3 linked regions of the Notamacropus eugenii genome follow. The protein of the gene in region 1 interacts with the protein of each later gene in a biochemical or structural test. Links are inferred from orthologs where the notes say so. Each region holds a gene or a part of one and is shown in the gene's direction. Other genes may lie near its edges.

Region 1 (7,720 bases):
TTTCCCCATAGTCCAAATGTATATAAAAAAAAGAAAATAACCAAATAATTTTCATACCTATCCATTATTAAGAACCAGGCACATTATTATATACCAGGCACTGTGCTAAACTCTGGGGATGCAAAAAGAGACAAAAGCCAATCCCTGCCATCAAGGAGTTCACAATCTAATGGGAGAAACCACACACATACATACACACACACACACATACACACACACACATACACACACACACTATTCAGGATAAATAGGAAATAATTAACAGAAGAAAGATTCTAAAATTAAGACAGGCTGGGAAAGTCTTCCTGTAAAAGATGGGATTTTAGGTGGGAAAGGAAGCCAGGAAAGTCAAAATGGAAAATCATTTTCTAAGAATAATTTCTCTTCACACTGGAGGTTCTAATGCTTGAGGGATAAAAAGCAACTAGATCCTCTGATATTTAAAGACATTTGTCTCTAGGCTTTCTTTCCAGACTTAACATACATTACTCCCCTTCACATATTCTATGGTCCAGCCAAAGAAGCCTACCTGCTGCTCCTCCTTCATGGCATTCCATCTCCCATCCCTTTGCTTTTGTACAGGCTGTTGCCCATGCCTACAGTGCACTCCATCCTCACTTCAGCATCTTAGCTTCCTCCAAAGTTAGGTCAAGCACTAATACCTGTATGAGACTTTTCTTAAACCCCTAAATTAGTGCTACTTTCCATAAATTTTTTATCATATATATTTTGTTTTTACAAATATGTACATATGCACACATACACTGTATGTATATGTGTGCATAAAATTTGTTGTTTTCTCATATAAAATATATAAGCTGCTACAGGGGTTTTTTGGTATTTATATCCCCAATGACTAAAACAGTGCCTGGCACACAGCAGATGCTTAATAATTGCTTATCTCTTGTATCAGATTTCTCTTTTGTCCTATGCCAACTAAAAATGTTAGGGTTTGTTTGTCTTTTTTTTTTAACCAAAGGTAGTAACAGGAAATAGCTGATAGCTAAAACAGAACATAGATTGACTTTCCTTTCTTTCCCTCCATTCCCAAGGACATTATTGTACTTCATATTTGGCAGCCCTATTTGATAGAATTAAAAAAAAAAAATCCCAAAACCCAACAACAAGAAAACACTGATCTTGTGAGAGTCTCCCTGATAAATGATTAATTTTTAAAAGGGCATTTTCACATCTCACCATTTTATAAGTGTTTAAAGCAACTACCAGCAGCCTCCGATTAAAAGAAAAATATTCCATCTATATGAACTAAGAAATAACCTACCAGTGCATTACAAAACCTTTCCATCCCAAAGACATTAATACACGTACATGTCAAGAAAATGCACCTGTACTAAATTAGATCTACAAATGAAACTATAAAATTAAGTGTGATTGAAGTGATTCCCAGAAGGAACATGTGGAAGTACTGATTTGGAAAGCATAGGGCTGAGAGTTATAGAAACTGCCACAGTGTAAATGAAATAACAGCCAGGCTGGTATCCTAATGTGCATAAAAATGAACAACAATAAAGATAGTGAAAATGGTAATTACGTTTCAATTTTTCATGCCCCACCTCGTTCCCCTAACAGAAGTAACTGAAAAGAATGGTGTCTTTCCCACTACATTAAAAACCAAGTTGAGGTGTCTACTGCAATAGAGTAACTTGAAATGTGATACATGCCCTTCTAGTAATATAAGGGAGAGCACAATAGGATTAAAATAGTAGCTTCAGCCTTAGACATTTTGAGGTCTGGGTAACTACTGTAACAATTCCATATAGTTTAATTCAAATGAAACTCCCTTTTCAAAACAATAAGATGAATTTAACATATGGCAGATGGGAACACCCTTTTCAGCCACGGACTTCTTTTTTTCTCCCTTTCTTTTTTTTATCTGATTCTCAGTGTGTGGAGGCATAATGAAGAACAGGATATTTGCATAAGAGGTTAAGGGGAAAATGACGAAAACCATGAGCTGGGTTTAGTAATTTCAGCTGTCTTTCGTTTTAGGAGAGGACCAGCTAGAGAAGGAGGGAAGGCGGGGGTGGTGAAGGAGAATGCAGCTGATTGGTGGTTTGACTTAACACCACTCGGCTTCATTCTGTACCCAAGTTTCAGCTTGGGCGGATGCATAGACAGGCTAGGGGAAGCTGTTTTGCTTTGAAATCTGTTTCACTTAACGCTACTCCAGGAAAACTTCAAATCTTACGATACCTTTTAAAGGACAGTTACTTTATTTAGTTTTTATAAGTGTACTGGTATATGTCTTAAGTAGATAAATTTAAAACTTGTAAAAACCTTAAAAAAAAGTTAGTGAAAAAATGAATCGTAAACTTAAAAAGGTAAGGTGTCTCAATTAGGGAAGACTAAGTAAACACCAGTGTGTGGCCTCGATGTCACAATGAACAGAGTTGCATAATTATAGCCCAAATATGGACAGCACAGAAGGAAACTCGGAGGGTTAATCCTGGAATTAAAGACTACAAACGTTTGACAGATTTTATTACCTGGACTGCTCATTACTTTCAAAATTTACACTTCAAAACTTTCAAAATAATCTTTTAGTAGTCAAGGCAATAATGTAAAATCAAGATCTATTTTGCGTCCCTTTTTCAGGACCGCAGGGCAGTAATTACCCTCCTCCTCCAGTAACAGACTAGAAAGGGGGCCTTTGCTCATAACTTCTGCAGTCCGCACTGTAACATTTGCGAAAGAAAACAGAGTTAGTATGCGGACAGCTCAGGCTCCTGGCTACATTTGTAATAAGATAAGGCCGAGTACGTTACTCCCTCTCCTCTTCCCATGTGATAGATCATCCTTTCTGTATATGAAAGTTTGCTCGCTGTTTTGCAAAATAAACCCGGAGATTGTTCTTGCCCTCGGGAAGGGCTATCATCTATAAGGCAAAGCACAGACTAGCTCGTCCCACAGAAAGAAGGAAGAGTAGAAAAAAACGAGACACAGAGAATCCCTTTGTGGCACTAGAAAGGTTGAAGATAATTAACATTTAAATAGTGCTTTTCATCCCCAAACACCTTATCGAAGAGAATCGCTCAGGGAATGAAGCCATTTGAAACACATCATTGGGGAAATACCAGCAGCTAGCCCTATACCAGCAGCTAGCCCTACACCACCACCCACACTGCGATTTCTGGCTCTCGCTTTCCCCAGGAAGACTTCATAATTAAGGAAGGGTGTTGCTGGTTTGTTTGTTTTTAACCTATAAAGGAAAATGGCGAGGGTATGGGAGGGTTAAATTGTAGAGTTGGATGGGGGCAATCGCATTGAGCTCCTTAGTGTCGGCTTCCTATTCCCTAGTCCAGCATTTATCCAATACTGGAATACGCACCCAGAGAAACAGCCAGCAAAAGTAATGCCCCAGCCCCTCCTGGAAGTTTCACGGCTTTCCCTCCGCGGGGAAAGAAACCTCAAATCAGGAACTTCAGAACGTAAGCCGCCTGTGGCCTGGTTATTAAGTGAGCTTTTATTTTTTGTCTTTATTCCTTTAAGGAGGATACAATGTATCGAAAGCTGTCCTCCTGGACTCTGAATCAGTCCTTACCTGCGCAGCCTTTACCTGCGCCCAAGGAGAACTCTCATTGGCCCCCACGCACACCGGGGAAGCCTCGCTAGGGGACAGCAGGCCCTTTTTGTTTTTTAATCAGCTCTTTCCTCCAGTCTTGCCCTATCTGCGGCCACGTCCCCACCGTGCTAATTATTTATTTCTGGACACCGGAGAGTTGTCCTGAGCAAGTTCCAAACAGCGGTGCCGGACTGCCGGGGAGGAGAAGCCGTGCCTGCGCTCCTCCCGCGGGCGCGGCCAAGACTGACCACCTGCAGCGGGAGGGAGGCCGGGCCGCGGAGCGCCCACCGGACAGCGGCTCCAGGCCCGCCGCGGGAGCGCCGCGGACCGGGCTACCTACGGCGTCTCCTCCCACCAACCTGCAGGCGGCTGCCCTTCCCGCACTCCCGCCGCCTACCGCTAGGGGCGTCACGGCACATTCGCCTCCTTCTCCTCCTCCTCCTGCACGCTCCCCCTCCCCCCCTTTCTAGGCTTCTAACGCTACTCCGATGGACCAACCGCAGCTCTCCGCCCCGCCCCCAGCTCGGGCCGCCCCCCCGCCCCCTCCCGGAGTCCCGCTTGCGTCGTCCCCCACGTCGTTGGCGTAGCCTCCGCTACGCTCCCGGGGCTCGGCGGCCCTCGCTCCGCACACCTCCCGCCCCCAGCGGGCCCCGGGCCCCTCCTCCCCGCTCCTGGCCCGCCCCTCCCCTGCGCGAGGACAGAGCGAATGTAGCCCGCGAGAGAAAATGGCGGCGGCGGCGGGGAATCGCACCTCGTCGTCGGGATTGCCGGGCTCCGCGGCGGCGGCGGCCAGCCCCGAAGCGGGCGGCGGGCTCCTGCGGGACGCGGGCAGCGGGGGCCGCGAGCGGGCGGACTGGCGGCGGAGGCCGCTGCGCCAAGTGCGGAGCGTGGAGCTGGAGCCGCCGCTCTTCCCCGCCTCCCCGCCGCCCTCCCCGGAGCCCGGGGACCCTGCACCGCCGGGGCCGCCGGCCGCGGCGGGGGGCGCCTTCCAGCCCGCAGCGCCCCCGCCGCCGCCGCCCCCCGCTCCCCTCGCCCTCGGCGCCTGCCAGTCCCGAGAGCCGTCGCCGCCGCCGGACAGCGGCGCCCCGAGCCCGGCGGGAGCCGATCCCGGGGACCGGAGGGCGGCCCCGAGCGAGCAGCCGCCCGCAGCCGCCGGTGCCCCCGCGAGGTAAGGAGCCGCCACCCCGGGCGCGCCGCCGAGCGCCTGCCTGCCCCCAGCCCGGCCGGGCTCCGGGCGCTCCCCGAATGAATGAACTCGGGGGCAGCGGGTGGGGGAGAGCGTCCGCAGCCGCTGGGAGGCTGCAGGAGAGTCCGCTAGGGACCGGGCTCTTCCCGGGCTGGCTTCCCCCCAGCCCCTCCACCTTCCCTCCGGCTCCCCGGTGTTGGGCGGGTCCCGAAGCCCACCTTTGGGAAGGGAGCGAGGGACGGGCTCGAGCTGGGGGGCGGGGGGGCGGTGTTATTGTTTGGAAACGTGGGAGACACCGGAGCTGTCTCTGCTCGGATCTGGTTGCGGAAATAGTTGAGAAGAAGGGTGTACACCAGTCCCTTGCCCTGTGTAGACTGGTAGGTTTCCGTATGTAGGGGGAAGTGGATCGGCCTGGGAGGTTGCCCCTTGGTAGACTTTGAGCTGGACCGATGATCCGGGAGGTTGCCCCGCGTAGACTGCCAGGTTGTTCAGCTCGGAGGTTGCCCCGTGTCTGTAGACCCGAGGCTTGCCCTGTGTAGACTGGTGGACCCGGAGTTGTGGGAGAGTGAGCTAGACGTTTGCCCGGACAGCCGGTCCGAGGGGACGGGAATAGGGGTGGGGGCCCTGGACTCCCCGTGTTTGCCGAGGGGGTGGGGAAGCAGCTGCGGAGGAGAAGATGCCCCAGGGGCCGGGTGTCCCGAGGACTCGTGGGCTTGATGCGGAGGCTGCGGGCGCCCCGGGGAGCCTGGACCGGAGCGGAGCTGCCTGGGCTGCTGCTGGGGGTGGGGGCGCGGGAGGTCCGGCCGCGGTGACTAGAAGCTAGTGGGCAGGAGCGAGGTCCGGGGCCAGCGGCTGTGTGTGTGGTGGAGGAGGAGGAGGCGAGATCCCGCCGGCCCGGGTCAGGCCGGTGCGCTGTGGGACAGACAAGCTGCTGTCCTGGAGCCGGGATCTTCCGCGCCGCCTGGCTGCAGCTTGCCCAGGAGGAGCCCGGGGTCTGCAGCAGGTAACCGGGAGGTTTGGGTGCTGACTGGATGTCTTTTCTGCTTGGGAGAATGTCGAGTGCAGGTCATAGCTGGTGGAGGCCAGTGAGCTGCAAACTCAGGGTGCCACAGTGTGTGGGCTCACGCTGAAGTACTCTTTGGGCCTAGAATGCTTTGAACTGGTAGCTGTGGCTTGTGTTTGAGATGTCTTTGAAGTTTGAATTTACTTGGGTGGCTAAAGATCTTAGACCGGATGTGTCAGCCATTCGGTTTCCAAGCCATCCAACCCGTTAACTGCCACCACAATCCTCTCACCTCTGGGTGAGAGTGGGGCGCACTTTGCATAGCTTCAGCTCACCCCAGCTGCAAACGCTGCCACCTTACGAAATTCCAGTAGCAACAGCATGATATACTGTTTAAAATCTCAAATTCTTTTCACTTCCGCTCAAAGAACAGTGTGACTAAGAAAAATGATTAAGTTTTCCTTGACTTTTATTTAGTGACAACTCTAAAATACTCTTTTAAAGGAAATCATTAAATGTGAGTTGACTTGAAAAATTCAGCGCTGAGAAACTGCAGAACACGAATTGTTGAGAAGTTAGTGTTTTGAATTTTTTTTTTTAACGTTGTGGCATTGCACCGATTCTCCAGTAGGATGTCCTGATGCCTATTTAAACACCCACATATATAATTTTGATTTGTGTGTGTAAGCCTCTTAAATGAAAATCACTTCTCCAAGGAGTTTTCCTAGTTCTGATTTGTGGCTAGGATGATTTGACATAATTTTGCTGTGGGCTTGGTTGATTTCATTTATTTATAGCTGCAGTGTTATGACAAATCCTTAACTTAAAAAACATTTTAAAATACATTTAGAAATACTGATAAGTCCCTCAAGACATAATGAAAACAGAGGAGCCTTTAACTAGGTTTTTGCATAAACATCTTGTGTAAATGTATAACAACTTCTGCAGAGTACTGATTGTTATACTTAATATTTAATCTCCTTTGTGTAGTTTCCATTGGAGTTTAGACTAAATCATTAACTGGGAACAATATTTTTTTGTTGAAGTAAATTGTATTTAGGGTTAGAATTTTGAATTTTGTCGTCCAGAAATTAATTTTAATTTTTCTGTTCTGATAGAGATTTATAGCAATAAGGACACAAGCTTTACATGGCTGTCAGACATTTGAGATAAATTAATACCTGAACTTATTAGGCCACAGTTAGTATGTTAACACTTGTCAGATGTTTGGAAGTAGATAAGAGCAAACAGAGTAGAAATAACATGCACAAAAATGTTGATTAGCTAAAGACTAAGCTTTCCTCAGATCATGGCTTTAGAGCTGAAAGGGATTTAGAGATCGTTTAGTCCTACTCTTTCATTTTACAAATGAGGAAACCATAGCCTAGAAAAGTCATGACTTTCCCAAAGTCACACTGCTGGTAAGTAGCCTAGCCAGGGCTTGAACCATGGCTATTTTCAGAATACAGGCACTGAACAATTCATTCTTTCTCCTGTTTTGTAACCTGGATGTTTTCCTTTTGGTTGTAAACTAAAAATTGTACAAAATATATAATAGTGCATATCAAAATATTTTCTTGAAAATTTAATTGAATTCCCATTGGAGACATATTTTGTATGTTAGAATGAAAGAAAAAACATGTATAGTATATGAAAGTGGAAGGGAAAAATAATCTGCAAGGGCAATTAGGTACTTGGGGTAAACAGTTCAGTCACTTTAATTAGAATAGGTTTGTCAAGGTCATAACCATTCGTGAAGAATTTTGTGTAAATTATTTAATATTTCCCAGTTTATTTAACATATTCAAAGATTTCATAAGTACTTTGACACTGTGACTTAAATAAGATCGTCACAAGTTTTTTTTTCATTTCCCCTTATCTTGATGTCTTAGTTTAACCTTTCTTAATGTAAGTAGTAAAAGCTTGCTTTTAATGACACTTTACCTTC
Region 2 (8,448 bases), on another chromosome or scaffold:
CGCACACACACACACACACAGAAACAGTGAGACAAAGATGAAGAACCTGAGATTCAGAAATGCTAAGTTTCCAATGTCAAAGAGATAGTGAATATCACAGGCAGAATTTGAACCCGGGACCTCCAACTCCAGAACTAGTGTGCATTTTCTGTATCACTTTACCTCTCTACTTTCATAAGCGTTGAGTGGGGAGGTCTATGATGTACAGACCACCATGTTAGGCATGGAGGGAGAGAAAACATTAAGGCACGGCTCCTATCCATAAGGGGTTTATAGTTTTGTAATTGGTCCCAACATGTACACGAATAACTATAAAGCAAAATAGAACCAAATAATTAGACTTATGTCAGTAACAACTAATAAATAGCTGAGGAGATAAGGCTAGGCACTTGCCCTAGATCACTGTTAGTAGGGAACAAATTAAACAGTATCACAAGGAGCCTGAACACTGAACAATCCAATTAGTACACAGAAGCTTCCTTTGTTAGTAATAGCTACAAATACCCTAGGAAGTGTCAACCAGCAGCCTGGGGCAGCTGCATGGCATATTTAAAAACCCAGGTCATAAGTTCACTGTTACTGGTGACAGTCAACCACTCTGCATTGTTTCTGTACATACCAAAATAATTATAGTATCACTGGCATGCATTTCATGGAGGATGGGTTGAGATGGGGCTAAAGCATCAGCTTAGTTTCATAAGTGAGACCAGAAACTGATTTTGATGAGGGGTAAGAATAGGGAGGTCTTGGGGAATTGGAGGTCACCATAAGTGGTAAAGGGTAGATTCAGGAGAAGTAAGAGAATGGGAGGAGTAGAAGGATAGACGGGTTTGGTCAAAGAGAATAATTTCAGAATTCAAAACCTTGGAGGCACAGGCAATTCAAACTGATGGCAAGGTCCAGGATTTGATCAAGCATATGATAGCTAAAGTGAATTTGAGAATTAAGTCATTGGAATGCAGGCAGTGGAAGAGTTGTAAAGTTAAATAGATGGGAGGATCATCAGTATAGATGTTGAAATCTTAAGGATAATAAGAGGTGATGGAGTAGAGGAAAACTGTGTAACCAAGTATGGGATATATTGAGGAAGCTGGCCGAGTCATAGCATCATAGAATCTAGAACTACAAGAGGCTTTCAAGAATAAAGACTATTTACCTCATTTTACAGGTGAGGAAATGGAATCCCAGAGAAAGGAAGTAATTTACCCAACATTATACAAGTAAAAAGTTAGTCAAAATCTGAACTCAGGTTCTCTGACCCTAAATCTATTAATTGCTCTTACTTCTAAAAAGGGAGCTGCCGTATGTATCAATCCATTCCCATGATTCCTTATATCAGAACTCCCTTCCCTCTTCACCACTACTCTATATGTGTTTTCTTCCATTACAATTTAAACTCCTTGAGGGTAGGGGTTGTTGTACCTTTATATTTGCATTCCTTGTACTTAGCATGGAGTCTGGCTCATATCATATCTCTTGAAAGAGGTTTGAGTAGCTGGGTATATGTAGTCACAGAAAGCAAAAACCATCTCTCTCTCTCTCTCTCTCTCTCTCTCTCTCTCTCTCTCTCTCTGTCTCTCTCTGTCTCTCTCTGTCTCTCTGTCTCTCTCTCTCTCTCTCTCTCTCTCTCTCTCTCTCTCTCCTCACTCTCACTCCTTCTCTCCCCTTTCTTCGGCACTCTTCAGTCTACCTGGATCACTTGGGAAGCAGGGTGTGAATGGTTAAGAGTTGTACACCAGGACCACAAGTACCAAAACAATCTACCTTTTATCTACCATCTTTACAAAGCATTCCTCTGTGCTTTCTCAGCTTTATCCTCCTTGAAATTAGCCTTCCTTTTTCATAATTCTTTTGTTTCTATAAAAGTGAAAACTACACACAACCTGTCCCCCTAAAATGTACATTCACAATCAAAAGACTTTGTAGTTTTTGTGCTTTAAAAAAAAAAAGTTAAAATAAAAGACTCACTTGTTGGTAGCAATGCGTGTGAATGCAGGGTGATATAAGTAGTGATGTGTACTTTAAGAAAGAACTGATTTTGACAAATGGTGACCCCAACAATGGTCTGGGCATAGGTGTAAGGAGAAGCCTATGTGTACATGTGTATAGTTGTGTATAACTTGGTAGCTATACATGTTTGATAAGGCAGAGCTGTTCATTTCCTCAGAAACCGGGAGATAGACAGCTCTGTATAAATCAGCAAGTTTATCTTGAAGTGTAGTCAAGACACCAATGACTTGTAAACTCTCCAGAAAAGAGAATCACAATAAGGTAGAGAATAAAAATATTCCTATATTCAAGTCATCTTTATTTTTCTTCAAAGGAAAGGGAGAATTTCTGTTTTTAAAAGAAAGTAATAACAATGGGACAAACAGTGAGAAAAGAATCAGAAAATCCAGTGGATTCCAGAGCAAGCTAAAATGAGCTGGGTGCCTTTAGACAGATTATTTAGTTACTTTGAGAAGACAGAGTGGTTGAATGTATATACAGTGCTGCATTTGGCATTGGGAAGAGTGTGTTCAACTCTTACTAATAAGCAAGAAATAAGTTGTGTGACTCTTGGTAAGACACACAAATTTTCTTTGCCTCAGTATTCTTATCTATAAAGTAGGGATAGTGATAGCTATATTATCTGCTTCACAGTACTATGAGTCTTGAGTGAGATAGTGTTTAAAGCACTTCACACATTTTGAGTATTCTCCAAATATCAGTTATTGTTTTAACGAGAAATTTGGCCTTCTCTATCCTTTCCAACTCTAACATCCATATTTAGATAGTGACTTGAATTGTTGCATACCTTATAGAGTACTAGACTTGGAGTCAGGAAGAGTTGTATTCAAATTCCACTTCTGACATATACTAGCAGTGTGAATGATGGACAATTCATTTAATCTGTCTGAGCCTCAAGTAATGTTCTAGGATTTATCTACTAAATTATACTAGCTAAGATGTGTTGCTTAGTACAAATCTTTCTGTATATATGTTAATTCTTCCCAGTAGAATGGAAGTTCCTTCATGGCAGGGCCTGTTTGGCTTTTGTTCTTGTATTCCCAGCACCTTGCTAATAGAAAGTCATGGGAGCATAGATTTATAGCTAGAAAGGACCTTTATCTAGCCCATCCTTTCTTTTATAAAAGAGGAAACAGAGATTAAGTGACTTGTCCAGGGCCACATAGCCATTCCTCTGTACCAGGCTGTTAAAATGAACAGACATTTATATACCACTTAACAAAGCACTAAGGGGTGTTTTATAGACATATGAGTATATTTGCTGTTTTTGTTGTCATCTTCAACTCTTTGGGGTTTTTTTGGCAAAGATGCTGAAGTGGTTTGCCATTTCCTTCTCCAGTTCATTTTACAGATGAGGAAACTGAAACAAACAGCGCTAAGGGATTTGTTCAGTCACATAGCTAATAGGGATCTGAGGTCAAATTTGAACTCTGGTCTTCCTGACTTCAGGTTCAGGGATCTATCCACTTTACCACCTAGCTGCCACAGTGAATGGATTACTGACATATAGATTATGCTTTACAAAATACCTTTATATATCATTTCATTTGTGATTGGGTTAGGCAATGCAAATATTCTTACTCTCATTTTACAGGTGAGGTACTGGAGCTTCAGTGACTTGCCCCAGGTCACCCAACTAGTAAATGGAAGAGGCAGGAATAAAACCCAAGTGTCCTGAATTCAACGGCTAGTGTTCTTTCCACTACACTCCACACAACAACGACTAAGACAAACATGAATATTGGGGGAGGGAGGTGACTGCGAGGTGGGCCTGGTCAGCAAGAAGTCTCCAATCGAAGGTTTACAAGTGGGCACACAGTAGGTACACAGGTTCTTTTTCAGCTTTATAGTTCTACCTCAGGCTGGCTTCTTTGGCACTGAGAAGCAGCATGGTATTTTGAGTGGAAAGCAGGGTTTTAGTCCTTCCACTTACCAGTTTCCTCTCCTACCACCTAGCTGACCTGGAGGTCAAGAAGAAAAGGCATATTTTGGTTTTTGCCTTAAAAACAAAATAAACTTGGATGCTAGAAGGATCTACAGCTTTGTCATCATGGAAGAACTCCCTCAGATCTCCACCTGGACGTGCTAGCACTAAAGATAAACTCTTGGCAGAGACCCCGGAGTGCGGAGAGACCAGTTCCCCACCTGTTACAGAGGAGGAAACCGAGGCCGGGGAGGTCAAGTGATTTTCCCCAAATTCCCTCTGGTAGTGAGTTAGGAGAGAAATTCTAGGAATTTGCCCGAGGCACCTGGAGGCTGAGTGACGAGACCAAGGTCAGAAGAGGAATTTGAACCGAGTCTTTCTGACAGCACATTATTCGTTACCTTTCCTCTTTATTCTTTCTTAATTAAATGCTATCTAAATGTGAATTGTCAGTATCAGCCACTCAGCCGGGAAATTTACAAAAACGTAGTCCCCGCCCCCATCGGGCCCAGCTCTGGCCACGCCCCTCATTCATACTTTCTTTTTTGCCCCTCCCCCTATTCAGATCCGCCTTTGCTTCTCCCCGGCCTCTCCTCTCCGGCCACCTGGGTCAGCCCTCCCCGCACTTCGCTCTTGCTACGGCTGGCCCCGCCCCCCGGGATCCGAATCGCCCCGCCCCTTCGTGGGCGGGGGAGCGGTCAGGGGGCGGGGCCCTGCGGGATGACGTGGAAGCGTGCGCGGTGACGGCCGGCGCTCTTGTTCCTTAGCCGAGCGGTGGAGGCAGGAGGACGCGGCCCGGAGCCCGGACGAGCCCGGACGAGCTCGGTGGACCGGCCAGCCAGCCGCTCGAGCTCGGGCTCGGACGCCTGTCCCGTCCTCCCCTGCCCCTCGGCCGCCCCCGCGGCGACCCCGGGGGCCTTCCTCCCTTCGGCGCGCGCTTCGCTTGCCTGGGTGAGTGCAGAGCCGGGCCCAGAGCCCGGGGGCGGCTCCTCCGGTCGTAACGGCTGTGTTTATGTTATTGTGCCGCCGCCGCCGCCGCGGTGACCCCCTCCGGAGGGGGAGGGGAAGGAGGAGGAGGGGGCGGCGAGGGGGAGGGGCGCGCGTCCCCGCGAGGGGGGAGGGGGCCCGCCTGGGGACCGGGGAGAGGATGCCGGGGGATCCGGAGAACAATAGCGGGGTGAAGGGGGCCAGGAGGGGGAGGGGGCGGGGAGGAGGACCCAGAGGGGGAGGGGACGGGGCCGGGGGCGATGACGCGCTGCTGCCCCACCGTTTTCCTCCCCGCCCCCCCACCGCCTCCAGCCCCGGGACCTCGGGAGCCCGAGAGCTAGATGGGTACCCACCTCCCTCCTCCCGCGGCGGCGGCCCCGAAAGGGTGGTCTGTGCTTAGCGTATTTTCCCCACTTGCATATTGTATTTTTTAAATGGCCAGGGATGGGGGAGAAGTTCTCAAAGACTTTGGGGGAGGGGGGAGATCTGTAGTCCTTGAAGGCCGGGACGGGGACTGGAAGCGTGCAGCGAGTACCTCGTAGATCCTGGGTATGTAAAAAGAAAATGGTCTTATCATTCCCATCCTGGACCATGTGTAGTGGCTGAGTTGACGCTCTAGGGCATCCTGGGTTTTTGAGTGTGTGTGTGTTTTTGTTTGCTTTTTGTGTTCTGTGGAGCCTTGTTTATGCCAGTAATGTAAAGCACAGATGCATCAGTTATATGCAGATACATCAATGCAAAAAAAAAAAAAAATTATTGGTACCGGCGATGAGTCCTCGGCCGGTGAATGGCAAATGGACTGTTTTAGCTTGTGGTGTTCTTATGAGATTTTTAAAATCTTAAGTAAGGAACTGATCTTTTCTGTATATCTCTAAACGCTTATGCTTATAGTCCCTGGCACGTAATACGCGTTTAATGATTGTGTCTTGACTGACTTGACTGTCCGAGTCACACTTTGGACTGCAGCTGTGTTATTTGGAGTTTGGGTAAATTAGTAAAAGCATATGGTCTTTGTTTTTTCTTTTCTTGTCTTCCCTCGTATATATTCTGTGAATTCAATAACATTCATCACCATCCTATTAAACTGTGCCCAATAAGTGCAATTTGCTTAAATTAGGGATAGGAACTGGACTATTGATTGTATTCCCATAGGGAACTCTCAGGTAAGGAAATTCCTTCTGATAATTGTAGGTTGGTACCTCTTCTGCAGTTGACCATCTCAGATGCCTAGGTGCTGAGAGGTTGTGACTTGCCTGGGATTACAAGGGCAGTATCTGTCAGAGGAGGGACTTGAACCTGTGTCTTGATGATTCCAAGGTCAGCCTGTCAGCTATGCCACAATAGCTAAGGTAAAAATAAAACAATCAAAAAAACCTTCCCACTAAGTGCAATTAATTAACTTATTTAATTCCGAGCTCATGCTACTTTTTTTTTGTTAATGTGGCTTCTTGGCAGTCATCCCACACTATGTCAGAGCTAGGAGTAGAAGGTAAAATGAAGTAGTTCAGTGTGGTATGTGAATGTTGCCTTGTCTACAGTCATAGCCCTGATTTATCCTTAAATAAAGCTATAAGATAACCTAGTGTTTAAGATCCTCATTTGTGAAATGAAGGGACTGTTTCCCTGACTCCTTTTGTCATTAATATTCTATGATTCCATGCAAGGTGCTTTTACTATTTTTTTTAAGTTGGAGGATTAAATGTTCCAATATATTAGAAACTGAAGGATTAAATGTGAACTGAAATTGCAGTTTTTGAAAAATTTTGCACAACATTTTGTCCGTGCATTTTGGTAAGCCACATACAGTTGTGACTAAGTGGCCATACTTTCATATGTACTACCTATCACCAGAGTAGGGGGATCTTGAACAACTTTGTTGAAGTGTTATTGCTTCAGTAAATTGACCTTCTTAAAAGGAACCTCATAATACTAAAATCAAGAATGTTCGGATACAGTAAATAGTTGTCTGAATGTTTGTATTATGAAAGGTACAAGTTCTAATTATTAAGCCAGAAGTATTTATGGCACTAACATATTTTCAATTTGCTTTGTTATAAAAAAAAAATTAAAGGAAGCATGTGCTCCTTAAATTGCAGGTAATGAAATTTTATATTTTTATCTCTGCATCACAGTCATTTCTCATTTTATATCCCCTTTCTTCCTCCTCCTTAAGCCCTCTCTTGTAACAAAGAAAAATAAACCAAAGTGATGGATAAAACCTGTGTACACAAAATTTGATACCCACGGTTCAGTGTTCTGCAATCCACTTTCCTTCTGAGAAGAAAACTATTTTATTCTCTTCTCAGAACCAAGATTTTTCATTATACCCATTGAGTTCAGCTTCCTTTTAATGTTTTTTTTACCTTGACATTATTGTTGTGAAATTGTTCATCTGGTCCTGTTTTTCCCACACCTGTATCACGTCATAGAAATCTTTGTATATTTCTCTGAATTCTCCATATTAGTGCTTCTTACTGTATAATATTTCATTAATAGATTACAGTATATATTTACCCCTTTGATGGGCATCTACTTTTTTTTTTTTTAAGCCAGCCAGTTCTTTACTGCCACAGTGGGAGTGCTGCTATGACTTGTTACATAGAAGGCCTTTCTTTCTGTCATTGACCTCTTTGGACTCTCTGCCTGATTACAACTTCCTGATCAGAGGTCATGAACAGCTTGGTGGCTTTTCTTACATAATTCCAAAATCATTTTATAGCATGTTTGAGTCAGTTCAGAGCTCCAAAAGCAAGGTGTAGCAGTTATTAAGTATCCCCTATGTGCCGAGCCCTGTGGATACGAAGACAAAAATAGAAAAATTCCTTCTCTCAAGGAATTTATATTCTATTAGGGGAAACAGGCTGAACTAAAAGATGGAATACAAAACAGAAAGTAATTTCTTGAGTGAGGGCATTAACAAAGGACAGGATTAGGAGAGCTCCCTGTTCAGAGTATTCCACTTGAGCTGACTTTCCAAGGCAGGTAGCATTTCTCTGAGCTAGAGAAGAAGAGGGAGCTCATTCTAGACAAGAGTGATTGATCAGCCTGTGCAAGGCACAGAGATGTTAGGTGGCATATTGGGTGTGAGAAACAGCAAGTGTGGAGGAGAGTCGTGTTTAGTAGGACTGAGTAAGTACACTGGAGACTGGTTGTGAAGGGCTTTGAAAGCCAAATGAAAGAACTGGTATTATATCCTAGAAGCAAGAGGAAGCTGTTGGAGCTTACTGAGCAGGAGAGTGACATAGATGTGTGCCTTAGGAATATCAGTTTGGCAACTGTATGGAAGCTTGTGGATTGGAGAGACTAGATTTGGGGAGACTACTAGGCTATTACAGTAGTCCAGGGCAAAAGGTGATGAGGACCTGGACTAAGGTAGTGGCTGTGTGAGTGGAGAGAAGATGATATGAGGGGCACTGTGGAGGTAGAATCAGTGAGGCTTGTCAGCTGATTGGGGGTGAGGGAAAAACAAGAATGGAGGATGACTGAATTTGGGAACCTGGGTGACTAGAAGGATTGTGCAACCCTTA
Region 3 (8,580 bases), on another chromosome or scaffold:
TGTGAACTGGCATATTTGTCTCCTTCATTAGAATGTAAGCTTCTTGCAAGGGGGGATTGTTTCGTTTGTTGTGCATTTGCCCTGGCTCTGGCACAACTAGATTTACTGATTTATACAGAAAAAATAGAAAGACAACAATACAAATAAATATAAAGCAGTTCAATACAAGTTAGGTTTAAGAGAAAGAGCTCTGGAAGACAAAGACTGATGGACAAATGTGACTGCTGAGCATTTTAGACCCTGAGAGTGAGAGAGTGAGTGAGTGGTGTGTAGGAGTAACAAAGAGAAAGCCTGTTTGGTTGGACTGCAGAATTCAGGAGAAATAATGTATAATGAAGTTAGAAAGACAGGTTGGGGCAAGGTGGTAAAGGACTTTTCAAGCCAAACAAAAGAGTTTATATTTTATCACAAAGGGAGACTGAGTTGGTAGAGTACAGGAATCACATGGTAAAGTGTGCTTAAAGAAAATCCTATGGTACATAGGCATATAGGATGGTCTGGAATGGGTCTAGAACAGAGATTCCCAAATTTATTTGGCCTATCACCCCTTTTTCAAAAAAAATTACTCAGCACCACCCCCTGGAAATCTAATTTCTTTAACCCTTTAACATTTTTTTTTGAAATTTGTGTCATTTTTTTAAATGTAATTTTTTTTTACAAAGATGCATTTTAAATTTAATATTTTTTTTCTAATTTTGTGGGATTTTTCCTGCATTGAAATGGTGATGATACAATATTGTGTCTTCTAACCATATGATATGGTAAACAAGTCATTATATGCACATATTCCTACTGATGCATGCTGGACTTCATGACAATGCCTGACGCACTCACCTGCCAGCACTTGGTTGTTAAGATCTGTCAGCAGACTTGACCACTGATCAGTTATAACTTGCATTTTGTGTTTTTAATTGGAAAAAAAAATGTAATCATGATATCTTTATTTTTGTTACACAACAGATGAAACATGCATGAATGGTTTTTCAAAATTTTCTTCTTTTCTTTCCTTATGCTTCCATTGCCCCCTTATATTTATTTGATACTCCCCAATTGTACCTGAAGCAGCTACGATCCCCCTAGATCATTCCAGTGCCCCCCAGGCAGTAGTATTGCCTACTTGGGAAACCTCTGGGCTAGAGACTTGAGGGACACAGACCATTTAGGAGGTTGTTATAATGCATAGTCCAAGTGAGAGGTGATGAGGGCCTGAAGGGTCATTTTTGAGAGATGAGGAGGTAGGAATGGCAAGATTTTGCAATCGATTAGATATGTGAGGGGAAGGAGAATGATGAGTCAAGGATAATTTTCAGGTTATAATCCTCAAATAAAAGGGAAGTTTGGAAGAGAGGTGGGATTTTGGGGAAAGGTTAATTCAATTTTTGATATGTTGAATTTGAGATGTCTTTGGGACATCTAGTTTAAAATGTCTAATGGACAAATTGTGCTGGGGAATTAAAGCTTGGGGGGAGTCATGGGCTGAATATATATAAATGTATATATGTATATATACACACATGTGCATACGTACATATAAAGAAATATATATGTATGCATGTATATATCTATATATATTTATATCGTTAAACCCATGAGGTCACTAAGATATATGTATGTATATATATGAGTGTGTGTATGTATGTATATATGTATGTATGTATGTGTGTAGTTACACCTATCAAGTCATTAAGACAGTGTAAAGAGAAAAAAATTTAGGGGTTTAGATCAGAATTTTGGGGGATACCCACAGTGAGAGGATAACATATGGATGGCAAACAAGCAAAGGAGAATGAGGAATGGTTAGAGAAGAGGTAGAACCTAGGAAAAAGTAGTATCATAAACCTCGAGAGAGTGGAAAGTGTCCAGGAGGAGAGAATAAATCAACAATGTCAAATAGAGTACATGGTTTGAGAAGGATGAGGCCTGAATGAATAAAGACTATCATGTTTAGCAATTAAGAGACCATCAATAATTTTGAAAAAACTTCAGTTGAATGTTGAGGTCAGAAGTCAGACTACAAAGCATAGAGGAATAAATATGAAGAGAGGACTTGGAGGCTGTGAGTGTAGAAAGCATTTTCAGGTAGTTTGACTAATAAAGGAAGGAGAGATATAAAACAGTAACTTGAAGGGATTGAAAGACAGTAAGGATAGACTTGGACATGCTTGGAATTAATAGGAAGGAACTAGTCAATGAGGAAAGGTTGAAGATTTAAAAAGGATTGAGGATGATTGAGGTTTCAGTCTTCTAGAGAGAAGATTGGAGGGGAAAGGATCAAAGGCATATGTAGAGGGTTGGTCTTGTTAAGAAAAAGGGGTCACTGAGGAAAAGGAAGAGACATTTGAAGATTTTGAGGTAAAGAGAAGTGGAGAAAAAGGATCTCAGATAGAACACCTCCATTTTCTCAGTAAAATAAGTGTAACATAGTTTCTCTGACTCCTCCGAGGCTTGTTACATTTTATACCCACACAGGGCTCTCTGGTACCCTAAGCAGTAGAAGTATCTCTTTTCTCTGACCCTACTTGTGTTTGCCCAGTGACTAGTATCTCAGAGTCTTTTAACCAGTCAAGATTAAACTAGTAGGGATATTTATTTCAAAGATATAACAAGGACAAACATATTGACACTTCCCCCAACACCTCTGGAACATAATCCCCTTCCCCTCCCCCTCTCCAAACCTCTTCTGCATTGGTCTTTGACAATTCAGATAGTTCATAAACGGCAGTAGTCCTACTAAGTTCAAGATAAAAAAATCCCTGCTGGGCTAGCATCCCAGGTCCCCTCTTGGAGTGACAAATTCCTGTGGCTTGAACATCTGGGTCTGATACTGTACTCCATTTACCTAGAACAGAAAAGGAGGAAGGAAAATGCCAAAAGTCAGGACCTATATCGATCCAGTGGGGAAAAAAGAGGCCCAAAGTCCCTCTAGCTTTACTGTTGAAGAGAGAGAGATGGGAGAGCTGGTTCAGATGTGAATGAATTCACTTAGACCTTCTCTGTGGCCAAAGGGGGCTTTATTGATGTGTGGGATGGTGAGACCCCTACTCAAATTGACTACTCAGAAGCATTTCAGAGTATACACAGAAAATCCTTTATACTGGACTTCACCCTTCCCCAAGCAAATTGGAGGAGGGGAAGCATTTTACAGAAGCAGATGCAAGGTTATATAGCAGACGACCACAAAACACCTCTTACCCTTTTGGTCAAGAACCTGAATGAACAGTCTTTATTTTTAGAAATAAGGAAATGGGACTCAGCAGCCTGAGCTAGCAGTCTCTATTTCAGAAATAGGGAAATGGGAGTCAGTGAAACTGGGGAGAGGGGTGACAGTCGGTTTCACAACTTCAAGTTTCCCAATATCATATGATTTTTGATAAACTGAAACTCAGGCATTATGTCCGCTTCAGTTTTGACTTAGGTCCCTGAGAAGTCTTCACTGACTTATCACATTCATTGACACAAAAGCAGTGGGTCTGAAATTTAGCACGGATCTATAAAAGGCAGTGATATAGGACAAGGACCAGACTGATATACACGGGCTCTAGGGTGATGATGTAAATTTTAGGGTTTCTAATAGGGGTTGGAGATTTAGGAATTGGATGAGGAAGATGGATGACACAAAAGAAGGGAGACAGATAAGATTTTACAACCCAGGATGGGGGACATAAGGAATTTTAAGGTCCAGGATAAGGGAGAAGTTTTAAGGTGTTTCAGGATAAGGGGGATAGACTTAAGGGTGCCTTCAGGTTAGAAAATAAACCAGGGGCTTCACAAAGTCAATCCTTAATATTATTTTAACTCTTAGGGCGCTGTTTGTATCCACATCATTTACTACATGGTGTGAATGAAAGTATCCTTCACTCTTAGATGGGAATGCAAGAAAAAGGCCAGGTGTTGCTGAGCCATTGGAAAAAGTTTGCTCCAAACTACATAGTAGCTAATACAGAATGTTCACTTATGTCCCAGTCCCACAGTCTCTTGGAAGCCGGTCCTGCCATCTTAGGTAGTGTAGGCATGTGTCAATCCTTACCCCCTCTCCAAAACTAGATCATCAGTTTTTTCCCCTCTGTTTCTTTCTTTAAAAACAAATAGATGCTCTTTAACATCACTTTAATTTCAAAATATATCTCTCTCCTTCCCAACTCATTCAGAGGAGGTTATTACTCTGAATTTTTATCAAATTTTTATCTTAAAGAAAAAAAAAGACAGCTTAGCAGGAAGTGTATAGGAAGCCCTTTATCAGAAGATCTGTGTTCAAATTTTACACCCAACCCATGATACCTATGTGACTTCAAGTCACTTCTCTGGCCCCTATTTCTTCATCTCAGAAATGAAAGGGTTGGATTATTGTGAGCTCCTAGAGAGCAGGGGTTATTATCAATACTATTATTATTTTTAATAATAATCCCTGGCATTTAGGGCAGATCCATGAATGGAGTATGACAGTATACATTACACTCCATACCTATAATCCTCTTGTTCTTCTGGGAAGGGGTCACTTATTTTTAAGTACTATTACTAATATCCACGAGGGCTCAAACTCTTTGAAGGTCAGGACTATTAGTTTCTAATCTCGAAGGCTCGCACATAGAAAGCACTTAATTTGATTGCTGAATTGAGTTGCATTAGAATTACACTTACTAACAACAAAGAACGTTTGTTGACAGAATGAATGAAACTACCGGGGGTCAGAAGGGAGAGTGGGTGTGTATCTCTTTACCCGTCGGAAGGGCTGCAGAAGTACCGGGAGACCAGGTCTGGGCAAGTCTGCAAGGGTGGAGCGAGCCCAGGGCCAGGCTGAAACTGATTGGTATCTGGAACGCCGGAGGTGGGCGTGGGTGGGTCCGGCCTCGGCGCTGGGGAGCAGGCGGGGAAGGCGGGCCAGGGGGACGGGCCGGAGGCGGGCACTAGCCGCGCCCCTCGCAGGCGGAGAGAGGCCGAACTTGCTGCATTGCAGCCGCCGCGGCGCCGCTCCACTCCTCCCGGATAACAATGGCGGCTCCGAGCCCGAGCGGCGGCAGCGGGAGCGGCTCTCCCGGCGCCGTGGGGCCCCCAGGGCCAGGCCACACGGCCGTCAGCAGCATGCAGGGTAAGGAGCGCCTCCTCGCCCCGCCCCAAGACCCCCGCGAGCTGCCAGTGGCGGCCGAGGCCTCGCTCTCTGCCCCCCTCCTTCCCCACCCCGCAGTCCCCCCTCCCCCGCCGCGGGCTTTCCCGGCCTAGTAGGCGCCGCTCTTGGGCCTGGTTGTCCTGGCGGCCGCGGAGCTGCCTCCCTTAGCCTCGGTCCTGGAACCTCCTTCTGGCCCCGACTCGAGTCGGCCTCTGCTTCACCCGGCATCCCGGCGGCTCAGGCCCCGGATGGATCGGTGCCCTCAGCAGTGCCCTCCAATCTGGTGATGGTTTCATACACCTCCCCCCCTCCCCTCCCCCAGGACGTAGGCTAGGAGGAGGAGGAAGAGGAAGAGGAAGGCCATGCTATGATCCTAAACTGCCTCTCCTTCGTAACTCTCCTTAGAACAAATGCTTCATGACTTTGAAGTCAATTGGCTTTTTGGCTGGGGGTGGGGGAAGGGGTATCGAACCTAGATTCACGGCTTCTCCTGGAGCTGCTCCTGCTAATGAGATGCGAAGGTGTTTTGGGGGTTTTGTTTTCTTTTTTTGGTTGTGGTGACAGCCCCTTCCATGCAGGCCTTTTTGCTTGAACTTGGATATTAGAAAATGGGAAACTTTATTTAAACCAAAGAACACAAACATGTGCATTGTTATGACACTGCCTCTCCTGTAGTCCCCTAGCGTTATGAAAACATCTTTTAAGAAGGTGTTTTTTGTTTGTTTGTTTTTGGCCATGATAACTGATCTTAAGAGATGTAGAAATAGGTTCAAGCTGTGCCTCTGACACCCATACTAGCTGTATGACCATGGGCAAGGCGCTTGATCAATTAGTGCCCCGGGCAATTCTCTTGAAATTATAAACTACAGATAAATTGCTAGGGTGAAATCCTAAGTCTTGATCCTTCTCCCACCCTTGCTTCCATCCGAGCTCTTGTCCTCCCCGCCCCCCCTCCCCCCCCCCCCAAATCTGTAGTCTTTAACAGAATTCATCGTTGTAATAATATGTGCTTGGGGTTTGGGAAGCTGTTAAATGCAGGAAGTGTGCTTTGTGTAGCCTTGGAAATCTCTGGTAATTTTTTACACGTTTCTTTCGTTGAATGAACAGAACCAGGGGGACAGTTCCACGTTAGCCAATATTGACTCTTGTGACATTTTGCTGTCTTGAAAGAGTTGGTTTTCAGTCGGTCCATAAGCACTTAATAAGTGCCTCTTATATGCCAGGCGTTGTGCTAAGTGGCGAGGATATATGGAAAGGCAAAAAGGTAGTCCCAAGTCCCAGCTCCAGGAGCTCACAGTCTAAATGGGTAAGACAAAACGCAGTTGTATTTGTTCACAGCTATCTGCAAAGAAGATGGATACAGGATACAGGATAAATTGGAAATAATCATCAGAGGAAAGGAACTAGTATTAAAAGAAATCAGGAAAGACTACTTTTAGAAAGTGAGATTTCAGCTGAAAGTTAAAGGAAGCAAGGAATAGTGGAAGTTGGAGATAAGAGGGAGAACACTTACTTTGGACAGTAGACACCCCCATACTTCTTAACTTCTGTCTGTCCATCAGAAGTACACTGTTCTGTGGATTTATTTTAATATTCAGACATTATCAATATTCCTATTTCTTCCATCAGTACGGATCATGACTCATCTGTATATTTTAATCCTGTGTGCTTCTTGTTTATGTTTTATAGACCCTCCACAAGGGATCTATCCTGCCTGCCAGAGGTTTTCTTTGGGGCTTGTAAAATGTTATGGCATTTGGGCTAGCTATTGGTTATCTTTCCCTGTCAATACTTGATCCATTAACCTTTTTTGGATCTTGTATCTCCTTGATGATATCTCTTAGGCTATTTCTTTTTAGGTATGTCATAACTGGAAGTACAACCTATTTGGATCAACCATCTGTTAGATAAATTTTTTTCTCTCAGTGGCACTATATTCTAAGTGGGTGAAAAAGTCAAACATCAAAGAGTTAAATAAGACAAATTATTATAAAGTGTCAGATGAAGTCTAGAGACAGCCTTGTAGTGCAAAGAATGCTGAACTTGGAGTCAGTCAAGGACTAGAGTTCATATTCTGTCTCTGCCATTTACTACCTGTGTGACCTTGGGCCAGTTACTTAAATTTCAGTTTTCTCATCTGTAAAATGTGGGGTGGGGCTGTTGGACTAGAATACTCCGAGGTCCTTTCCACTCCTACGTCTATGAACCTTTAAATCAGTGGTGTCAAAATCAAATGGAGATAGGAGCCCAATAAACTATACTTAAGAATTCCTTATGTGTTATTGTATTTTTCTTTATTTTGTTAAATATTATCCAGTTATATTTTAATCTGCTTCACACTGCATTGAGGAGGGCCTGCATTTTGACACCTTTGTTTTAAGGATTCATGAAACCTTGCCTTTATTTATACTACTCACTTCACTTAACTCTAATAACTTGAAAGACTAAACAATCCTAGAGAGACCTTTGAAGTGGTCTTAAACTGTAAAGAGGTCACAAGGATTGCTTATGAGTATTCTGTTGTTTTAATTTAAGAAGATATTATTAAAAAAAATATTAAATAAAGCATTTCCTGTAAAATGCCTAGTCCCAGAAGTGTCTAGGAAGTAGCAGAACATTGGGGGAGCTGTGTGGAAAGAGCATTGGATTTAGAGTCAGAGGATCTGAGTTTAAATTCTGACTCTGCTACTTAGTGCCATTGGGACAGTTACTTAAATTCAACAAACATTTAAGTGTCTGTGTGCCGGGAAGGCTCTGTGCTAGGCACTAGTGATACAAAAAACCAGAAAAAATAGCCTTTACTCTTGAGGGGGGAGGCAGCTAGGTGGTTTAGTGGGTAGGGGGCTGGGCCTGGAGTCAGGAAGACCTAAGTTAAAATCCTTGCCTCAGACACTAGCTGTATGACCCTGGGCAAGTCACATAACTTCTGTTTGCCTTGGTATCTGTGGTATCCATGGTAGGAGGAAATGGTAAATCACTCCAGTATCTTTGCCAAGAAAAACCCCATGGACAGTATGTAATGGTCTACGTGGTCATAAAGAGTAGGACACAATTGAACAAAAACAAGTAAGGGGCTTTTTACTGAGGTTATATCAGTCTTTATAACAGCCCCTTCCAACTCTCAGATTCTGTGATACTGTGAATCAAGCATTTATAAAGTGCCTATTATATGTTAGATGCTAAGGATATAAGCCTACATTCCATGAAGGGGGGAGAAACATTATGTATACGAATAAATATATGTAAAATAAATAACAAGGTAATTTGAGAATTGTAAGTATTACCTGTCAGGATCAGAAAAAAGACTTGGTGTGGGAAGGGCACTTAGGCTAAGTTTTTGAACTAGGGATTCTGAGAAGTGGAGATGAGGAGGGAGTGCAGTCTAATTGGGAGACAGCCTGTGCAAAGGCAAGGGGTGTGAGAGATAGAGTGTGCATCAAGAATATCATTTTGAACTTCATGTAGGAAGGAGCGCT

What was found.
Region 2: of the proteins of MAP3K1 (region 1) and MAPK8, one has a biochemical effect on the other in vitro, tested with the Homo sapiens proteins (3 studies listed by BioGRID, with this or other methods). The link is inferred for Notamacropus eugenii from reciprocal best matches to the Homo sapiens genes MAP3K1 and MAPK8.
Region 3: of the proteins of MAP3K1 (region 1) and MAP2K4, one has a biochemical effect on the other in vitro, tested with the Homo sapiens proteins (7 studies listed by BioGRID and IntAct, with this or other methods). The link is inferred for Notamacropus eugenii from reciprocal best matches to the Homo sapiens genes MAP3K1 and MAP2K4.

Annotation. Positions count from the first base shown.
Region 1 is NC_092875.1:405,365,818-405,373,537, reverse strand, and holds the start of MAP3K1 (mitogen-activated protein kinase kinase kinase 1), read left to right. Parts: upstream 1-4,288; 5' UTR 4,289-4,308; coding exon 4,309-4,751; intron 4,752-5,044; exon of another isoform or gene 5,045-5,146; intron 5,147-7,720. UniProt on the Homo sapiens protein: Component of a protein kinase signal transduction cascade. Activates the ERK and JNK kinase pathways by phosphorylation of MAP2K1 and MAP2K4. May phosphorylate the MAPK8/JNK1 kinase.
Region 2 is NC_092872.1:219,738,026-219,746,473, reverse strand, and holds the start of MAPK8 (mitogen-activated protein kinase 8), read left to right. Parts: upstream 1-4,750; 5' UTR 4,751-4,885; intron 4,886-8,448. UniProt on the Homo sapiens protein: Serine/threonine-protein kinase involved in various processes such as cell proliferation, differentiation, migration, transformation and programmed cell death.
Region 3 is NC_092873.1:314,570,245-314,578,824, reverse strand, and holds the start of MAP2K4 (dual specificity mitogen-activated protein kinase kinase 4), read left to right. Parts: upstream 1-4,890; 5' UTR 4,891-4,989; coding exon 4,990-5,086; intron 5,087-8,580. UniProt on the Homo sapiens protein: Dual specificity protein kinase which acts as an essential component of the MAP kinase signal transduction pathway. Essential component of the stress-activated protein kinase/c-Jun N-terminal kinase (SAP/JNK) signaling pathway.